Linked DNA regions of Arabidopsis thaliana. The protein of the gene in region 2 interacts with the protein of the main gene of each other region in a pairwise test. Each region holds a gene or a part of one and is shown on either strand. Other genes may lie near its edges.

Region 1 (4,054 bases), 200 kb from region 2:
CAGGGAGAAGATTTTAACAAGGAGAATCTGCGTTACCATAAAATTATCATCTTAACAGATGCAGATGTTGATGGTGCACATATCCGGACACTTCTGTTGACCTTTTTCTTCAGATATCAGGTACTAGTTTAGTTTGATAAAACATTAGTTGAAGTAGCCTTGATTGCTGATTGAGTTATGTGAAATTTAATGAAATTTACTTTCTACAGAGAGCCTTGTTTGACGCGGGTTGCATATACGTTGGTGTTCCACCTCTTTTCAAGGTAAGCTCTTAGTATCTATAATCTTATGCTTCAGATTGAACGGAATTTTTTTCTAAAGCTAGTCTCTCTGTGAAAACGATCAGGTTGAGAGGGGGAAACAGGCGCACTACTGCTACGATGATGCAGCTCTTAAAAAAATCACTGCTTCGTTCCCTGGAAACGCATCCTACAACATTCAGAGGTTCAAAGGTAAAACATCCTACTTCTCACATCATGAATGTGTTCTTTTGGAAAGGATAAATAACTATGAAAAGTAATGTATAGTAGTTGTTATGTGTTAGCTATTAAGATACTCTTGAGTGTGTGCATAACGAAATCTAGATTAGTCTCAACTATTGGATTCTATGTAATGTTTCTTGCTTTTGCATCTGCAGGTTTGGGTGAGATGATGCCTGCGCAGCTATGGGAAACAACGATGAATCCAGATACAAGGATATTGAAGCAACTAGTTGTTGACGACGCAGCAGAAACGAATATGGTCTTCTCATCTCTGATGGGTGCTCGGGTAAGCCAATGAATTGCCAGACTCGGACTCATGATAATAGTCAATAAACTGGCATAACTCATCGTGACAATGTTATGTTCTGTGTATGTTTCAGGTCGATGTCAGGAAGGAACTCATCAAAAGTGCTGCGACTAGGATGAATCTGGAGAATCTCGACATATAACACAGCTTATAGTTATTGCTTCAGCTATATACAAACAACAAAGAAACGACTCTGGTGAAATGCAAAGGGAGACATCATCATTTCAAGGTTAAATCATATAGTCACAGGCCAACAGGATTTTGTTCTTCTTCTGGCCTATAAAGGACAAAATTCATTGTTAGGATTATCTCTTTCAATGTCAAAATTTAGCAATTCACAAGGCTCTTTGTTGGGCGTTTCTTTCCATTGGAACTAGAATTTTTCTAGAGACAAGAGAAATTTGCATTCACTAGGTATTTACTATATATTATGACTTCAACAATTTGGCATTCCTGAAAATCATGCATGCGACGAAGTTAAAACTAATGATTAGAAGGAAGATGAGAAGGTAACTATTGTGCAATGAATATCTTCTCTGCCTGTTGTATTGATTTTAATTGTATTCGAGGTTAAGTTTTGACTGATGTTTTACTAGCGATCGCAGAGTGATCGATAATTAACAAGTTTATTTTTCGATTTGGTAGGTATATAGTGAATTAAACATGATTTTTGTTCTTCCTGAACAACCTAAAGCAGTGTTATGAACGCATCACGCATGTAACAACCAGTCAACCATATTAGTGTGACTTTAATTCATTGAATAAATGAAATTTTTTTATTTTCAACAAGGCTTGTAACGGTTGATAAATCTACTCAGAAAACTTCTTTTTGTTTGTCTTGCAAATACAAACGATACGTTTCAACTCTTTTTTTGGCGTCCAATAATACTTCTTAAAAAATAATTTGTTTATTGTCATGAGCTACACGTGGGAAGACAAGTCCTATCCATTATTACTACACACTACTCCAACATTTGCCCACATTTTGAAAAAAACATTTTTTTGTAATTCAATTATTCGACACAACCAATCCCATCTCTTGTTTCACTTCCGCCCTCCATCTTTCTTCGTGATTGAGAGAATCTTCAACGAAAGAAAGCAACTTTTTTTGGGTGAAATTCACAGAACAACCAAGGTTTTTCTTCTTCTTCTTCTTCTCCAGTTCCTACAGGTTTACTCTTACTCATCTTCATCTTTGTCTCGTTCTTGCTCTTCAATTTCTGGTCTTTTTGTTGTTCTTGTCTTCTCGCCAAATATACTAAGATCTAAGTTTTATATCATTGTAATTATCACCAACGAACTGTTAAGACCAAATTTGATTACTCGAAATGGTTTTGGGTTTAGGGTATGAAGAACTGATCAAAAGATTCAATTTTTTATGAAGTCAACTTTCATCTGCAAATTGAGCAATCTCAGATTTCGATTGTGTTTCAGAATCATGCCTGACAAGAACATCGTAGAGGACGTTATCGGTGATTTGGTGGATAACTTCACGGAGACTGTTCAGAAGAACAAACATGGTTCCTCCTTCTTCGAACAAGAAGATTCCGTCAGTTCTCGTTTCAACCGTTTGTTTGATCGCCAGAAGCCAATTCATCATGTCTTAGGCGGTGGCAAATGTAAGAATTCGTATACAGGAACATAAATATGAGATTGGTTTTTCTTGTAATTGAGTATTGAGAGATTCCTTCAGCTGCTGATGTGTTGTTATGGAGGAACAAGAAGATCTCTGCAAGTGTTTTGATGGGAGCTACCGCAATTTGGGTGCTTTTTGAATGGATCAATTTCCATTTCCTGTCTCTCGTTTGCTATGCCCTCTTGCTTGGTATGATTGCACAATTCGTTTGGTCTAACGCCTCTGGATTCTTAAACCGGTAACTTGTTGGAGTGTTGTTGTCATTATTATTGGTACCTTGTGATTGCAATCTAACACAATGTCCTTTAATGTCTCAAAGCAGCTCACAGTCTAGAGTGCCTCGCCTAGTTCTTCCAAAGGATTTCTTTGCTGAAGTCGGTGTGGCCGTTGGAAAAGAAGTTAACCGCGGTTTGTTGTTTCTTCAGGACTTGGCTTGTAAAGGGAATTTGAAACAGTTCCTCATGGTGCGTTGTTTGTTTCAATAACCACAATCTTGTTTGTATAATGTATTAGCACTTTCATTACTATGCTAAGATAGAAACTTTGATCACAATATCATTTTTCAGGCTGTAATCGGACTATGGGTAGCTGCAATGGTCGGGAGCTGTTGCAATTTCCTAACTGTTTTGTATATCGGTGAGTGGTTCTTATTAGTGTATCCTCTTTTGAGATTGGAAGTTGAGTAATACAAGACTTTAAAGGGATGCATTTTATGTGTGTGTGTGAAGGGTTTGTTGGGGCACACACAATGCCGGTTCTGTATGAGAGATACGAAGACGAAGTGGATGGTTTTATGGATTCTATGATCATGAAGTTTCATAGTCATTACAAGAAGCTTGATACTGGGTTTCTCAGTAGAATCCCAAGTGGAAAGTTTGGATTAAAGAAGCGTGAGTGACTAAATCACTCAAGCATTTTCTTATTTTACCTTGTTTGTTGTTAGAACAATATGGATTATGGTTTGCTAAATGAATGTTTTGAGAATATTATTCATTCATGTAGATTTTGTGTATTTCCTTACTAAACAATACCTTGTCCATGTATTTGTCAATACCTTGGTTAATAAGAGAATCATCATATCTGTCAAAATTATACAAGTAGATTGAGAGTTCATTAACTCAATGTCTAAAAATGTAAGACTTAAAACAAGTTTGAATCAAAATTATTTCACAAATCAAAAGTATGGTTTTCTTATTTCGTAAGAATCGTTGACTAATATTGACCGGCTGGCTAATAAGAAGATCAGATAACTCTACAGGTATGGGATCCACCATTGTCAAACATTTTACACGTGTCAGCTTCCTGAGCTTCGAAGCCTGAATGTTAAAATTAAAAAATTTAAAAGAAAGAAATATAAAAAGAAGTAAATCAAAGAAAATGGAGTAAAGAAATTGATCCACGATCGATCAACAAAGTGAGGTTAGGTTCCATCTCCACCTCTTTCTCTCTCGAATCTTCTCCGATTAAAGGTGCTCTTTTGCTTATGAAATTTGTGTTTCTTAAGCTAATCGAATTTGTTTTCTTGATCGTTTTGATGTTCTTTTTTTTTTTTGTTATTGTTGTTGATTTGATGTGATCCGGTTGTATTTGAAGACGAAATCGATTCGAAGTGTTGAGGTTTAGTTTGGG
Region 2 (5,163 bases):
AGGCAGTAGGTATGCCACACTAGTTTTTAACAAGTTTGCATAGGGGCCAAACTATGTTCTTACACAAGGGTAAATGGTTTGCATATGTTTAGTGGTGGTTTTTGCGACATTATTATGGCTTGATGAGTTTGTCACTTGTGGTGTTTGAATAGGGAGAGTGTAGCGGCAGAGAAGGTGAAGGAAGCTCACCGTAGAGTGATGGTGGCTAATCATCCAGATGCAGGAGGAAGCCATTACCTTGCGTCTAAGATCAATGAAGCCAAAGACATGATGCTTGGAAAAACCAAGAACTCTGGTTCTGCGTTTTGAAACCCTTTGGGTGAGGTCGATTGATCCCAACCACAAAGCCATGTGGCCTAGTTTCGAGTAGTTAGTCTAGATCGTTCTCTTTAAGCAATAACCATTAGATTGATTGATCCTATCAAGCCATGTAGTTCCAAGTTATTGGTCTAGTTCATTTTTTTATCATGATGATGTATAACGTGGGTATTTAACTTTTTCAGCGTGAGAAATATATAAACCAAACTGAAAATGAGTCTAGTCGGATTCTGGTTTTGTTCAAACATAAAACTATAAGAAGAAAAAAATATTGCATTTCCAATTAAGGGATAGCCGCTTTAATAAAATGTTCTTTCACTTGCACTCTTTGCAGTGCCAAATGTACTCTCAAAATGAACTCTGCTTTGTTATAACCTATAGAATCTGAAATCTTCAACCAAAGCAGAGGACTAAATCATCTTCTTGGTGTTATTTACACATTTCTCCATAATGGAACGAAGACCAAGAACAACGTGTTCCTATAGTTCTTTTTTACTTACTCTTTGGTAGTGAGCTACTGTCAGATAAACCTGTCTTTGGTTGATCCGGTCTATGGGTTTCCGTTCTTTGTTCCAATAACTCTACCGGGCCCTTTGGTTCTCCAAATATGGCCGAAAAGATCTGCGTGTGGCACTCATCACAGAGATAGAAGTAAGAGAAGTGGCCTTCGTTTGGGAGTCTATGTACCGTTGCTTCTGGTATGACTCGACTAATGTAATCTGTCACTGAAGGTGGAGTGACTCGGTCGTCCATACCCTATGTGACCACAAGCAAAATGAGTAACTCACAACTTGACAAAGGTGATCTTGTAGATGGCGGTTTTAAGTGTGATTTCAACAAACCTGCCATATGTGTATAGGTTTCCGAAAACCAATTAGTTCACATTCGGATTCACTGTACATTGACATTAGCCAAGAGAGGACGCCATTGGTTCTACACTTCTTCTGCATGTGGAACTCGGGAAGACTAAAGCCCCAATTTGATACCTGTAATGCGGCTTCTTCCACAAATGGTTTTGCAGTTCCTTGGCGTACAGACTCCTCCACATTCCTTTGGTAAAGATCTTCAAAAACTGGATCTGCGGTTACAAGTTTGTCCTGAAATAGAAAAGTGGTGTATACAGGTTTAGCTTGTGAGCCATAACTCACAAAGACTCAAAACCTTGGGAAGAAACACTTGATGAATACAGACTTACCTTTTCTCCTAATGACACTGACATCCACTTATCCAGCGGCTCGAGATTACCAGAGAGAAAGGACCTACGGTAGGAGAAAGGAAGAAGACTTGGCCACCGACGTGCTAAGAAGTACATGAATTTCCTCTTTCGTTGCCACTGCTCCCACGTTTTTGCCATCTCTTCCTTTGTCATGCTTGGCTCATATGGATTTATCATAGGCGCTACCATGGCAACTCCTGTAGATTTATAAAAATCAATACCTTCCCATATTATTTTGTGTCATTCTGTGAAAAACATGAGTTGGCCATGAATTGTGAATTTTCAAATTTTATCCAAAAAATTGAAGGTACCAGCTATTTGGTCCGGAAAATATCTCATTGCAGCCCAGGCATGCACACTACCACTGGAATAGCCGAGTAACCAGAACTTGTCAACAATCCCTAGAGCAGCAGCTAGGTCAATCATATCCGAGGCAGATGAGCTAAGGTTCCGAGCACGATGGGGATCACTCTCTCCAAACCCTGGAAGATCATATGACACTAGACGAACACCATAGTCCTTGAGCAATGATTCTTTTACTCCAGGTATACCTTGATAAGATAATGTTGAAACAGTAGAAGCAAATCAGATGTAATTGCATCATTAAAAGTAAGCTGAAGCTGAAACAAGGAGCTTATTTGATCATACCTGCAAGCCGAGAGGAAAGAAAAGAATGAGGAACAATTAGAGAGTGTCTAGCTCTGTCAGCTGAAACACCAAGCTCCTGGTAAGCTAAATATCTACCATCTGGAAGCTGTACACGGCTTGCACTAGTAGGATGCAGACGGATTTTCTTCAACAAAGGGACAGATCTATCATGGTCTGAACTAAAACTCAATGCTGCACTTAAAAGTTGGATATGTCAGAGTAAGGATACAAGCCTCTCTTGCACCAACGAGAATCTATTCAAGACTGCCACTTAAACCAATATCTAAGCAGAATCAAGTTAACTACATACAACAACCTCAAAAAATTCTATAAGGTTCATCCCAATACACAGTTTTCTAGCAGACATTTTGAATAACTGTTCATTATAAGAGTGTGGCATTGCAGATACATAATGGTGATCCAAAACCAGAAAACTGTTTGATAATATACCTGTGAGAGCTAGGAGGAAGACGAAGAAAATCACAGGCCAAGCATGAACAGGATCACGATCCTCAGGCAAGTACTCGTTAAGGAAGCTAAGCTTCTTCGAAACCTTAGCAGCTGGTTTCCGGAGCTTCCTTACAACGAAAGAGTCGTCGGTCACCACCATCTGCTGCACAACGTCTTTGCATCCGATTGCGAGATCCATAAGCATTTCTCCCCAAGACTTCATAAACCCCGTCACTTGATCTTTCAAACTCTCCACTGATTCGGATCCAGAACCCGACTCGAAACCCGAACTCTTTGACCTCGATTCAGTATCCGCCGTCAAATCAATCGGAGATCCGTCGTATTGTAAACCTCCGTCCATGAGACTAGCTAACTCGTCTTGCCACGTAGGCACTCCTCTTCGCATCTCCTCCATTATCAAAACGAAATCCCTAAATCCCAAGTCAGGACCAACTCTTCAGAGCAACAAGACGAAGAAGAAGAAGACCTGAACATACATTAAAGTGGGTTCTTATGAGCAAAGAGAAGAAAACACAAAGAGCGCGAGAGAGAAGAACATGGCGATAATGAGCTGCAAAACTGACACCTTTACAAGCGTGAACTTCAAGCTCACTTTTTTTCTTGACAAATATATATAAAAATTACTTCTTTCTAATTAAAATAACTCAAAGAGAATAATTTCAATAACGAATCAAAATCTTTCTCCCTTTTTTTTTGCATTAGAGAAATCGAAAGAGACAAAAGCTTCACTTACCAAATGACGCAGAAACAGCTTAGACGTCGTTGATAATCATGGTCACCAATCTATCTTCTTCCATTGAACATTTTTGCAATATTCTACCTTGATTTAGGACTGGTTATTGTCAAAGAAATTTACTCCAGTCCGCCATTGACGATCCACGATCCTTTTCCTGATTTTTTTGTATTTTACCGGTTGAATAAACAAATAAGGACCGTCAGATCAAGATCGCTTTTTTAAGAAAATGGACGGTCTTGCATGTCGTTTATCGACGCAGAGTACCGGCTGAACCGGTGCGTGTCGCGCGCTTCCTTATGCTTAGCTTTGTGTGCCTTTTACCTGCTACAACCGGTTTCGTTTTCTGACGTGGCGGATAGTGTGGGAGTCGTGGGCTAGTAGGTGCACCGTGCACGTGACTAGGACTGGAATGTTTCAATGCAGCGTATACGGTATTACGGGAAAAATGTCGTTTTATACGTAAACTTTCAAAAAGTGACCATTTAATACGTGAATTTTTTGTGTGGCCAAATAAAACATAATAAAAATGTTGACCGGTCGTTTCACACAAATGTTATTGTTGACCAGGCCAAAATCCCCATACCGTTATCTTTTTCTAACGGATACGTTAATTCCGTTACCACACGTTAATTAGTTTCCTGTAATACTCAAAACGACGTCATTTCATTGAAATCAAAAAATCAAAATTCCCAAATTGATTTCAAAATCCCTAAATTCCAAAATGGAATCCAATTCATTTTTCTTCAATCCATCTGCTTCACATGGCAACATCATGTTCTTCTTTAGGAATCTCAATCCCGTTGTCCAAGGTTCTTTTCTCACTCTCATAATCTTATTTCATCATGTTGGAAGTTTCCCTGTTTTTGTTTTGTTGTCTTGTGAATAAAATGTTACGAACACACACACATGAGAACCAATTTGAATATGAATAATAACATTCGACTATTGACAGCAGTTGTTCGTTTGAATTCACGAAGGGGGAGGAACAAGATCGATGATGAACAAGGAGGAAACATCAAAGCGAAGGCCCTTCTTTAGCTCTCTTGAGGATCTTTACGACGATGACTATTACGACGACCAATTGCTGAAAATAAGAGGCTGTTAGGGATTTGGTTTTTAGAATTTAGGGATTTGATTTTTGGAATTTAGGAATTAAGGATTTGTTTTTTTGGAATTTAGAGATTTTGAAATCAATTTTAGGAATTTTGATTTTTTGATTTCAATAAAACGACGTCGTTTTGAGTATTGACGGAAACTAATTAACATGTGTTAACGGAATTAACGGATCCGTTAATGAAAGATAACGGCATGGAGACTTTGGCGTAGTCAACAATAATATTTGTGTGAAACGGCCGGTCAACGTTTTTATTATGTTTTATTTGGCCACACAAAAATTTTCGTATTAAATGGCCATTTTTTAAAGTTCACGTATAAAACGACATTTTTCCCGTATTATTACCTTAAGGAGTTGGCATAATATTTGGGTTGACATGTGATGGGCCTTCTTGTTAAGCCCAAATATAAAAATAATCATTTGCCGTTTAATCAATTTCATTGCAGACCGGTTAATGCCTAAACCAGGGCTCTCACGAGTCTTGACCCAAGCCTATATATACCTATTTTCTTATCACTAGGGTTTTTCAATCTCTCACGAACTTAAAACGTCGCGCCTTTAGCAGTTTCAGCTCATCTCTCGACTTTTTCACTCGCGCCGTCGTCAACATGGGGTACGGTATCCTCTCTTAGACTCTTTATGTTTCAGTCTCATCTCTCC

What was found. The genes of interacting proteins can lie anywhere in the genome.
Region 1: the proteins of AT3G09690 (region 2) and AT3G10260 interact in a two-hybrid assay, tested with the Arabidopsis thaliana proteins (one large-scale study listed by BioGRID).

Annotation. Positions count from the first base shown.
Region 1 is NC_003074.8:3,170,682-3,174,735, reverse strand, and holds AT3G10260 (Reticulon family protein), read left to right. Parts: upstream 1-1,743; 5' UTR 1,744-2,167; coding exon 2,168-2,408; intron 2,409-2,482; coding exon 2,483-2,663; intron 2,664-2,747; coding exon 2,748-2,889; intron 2,890-2,991; coding exon 2,992-3,061; intron 3,062-3,153; coding exon 3,154-3,323; 3' UTR 3,324-3,514; downstream 3,515-4,054. Other genes in the region: GYRB1 (DNA gyrase subunit B), read left to right, coding at 4-120, 210-263, 347-452, 638-768, 863-931.
Region 2 is NC_003074.8:2,970,240-2,975,402, reverse strand, and holds AT3G09690 (alpha/beta-Hydrolases superfamily protein), read right to left. Parts: upstream 3,591-5,163; 5' UTR 3,387-3,590; intron 3,230-3,386; exon of another isoform or gene 3,120-3,229; 5' UTR 3,048-3,119; coding exon 2,633-3,047; intron 2,375-2,632; coding exon 2,183-2,374; intron 2,086-2,182; coding exon 1,846-2,085; intron 1,732-1,845; coding exon 1,514-1,731; intron 1,416-1,513; coding exon 1,161-1,415; intron 1,075-1,160; coding exon 811-1,074; 3' UTR 560-810; downstream 1-559. Other genes in the region: AT3G09700 (Chaperone DnaJ-domain superfamily protein), read left to right, coding at 153-309; AT3G09680 (Ribosomal protein S12/S23 family protein), read left to right, coding at 5,112-5,116.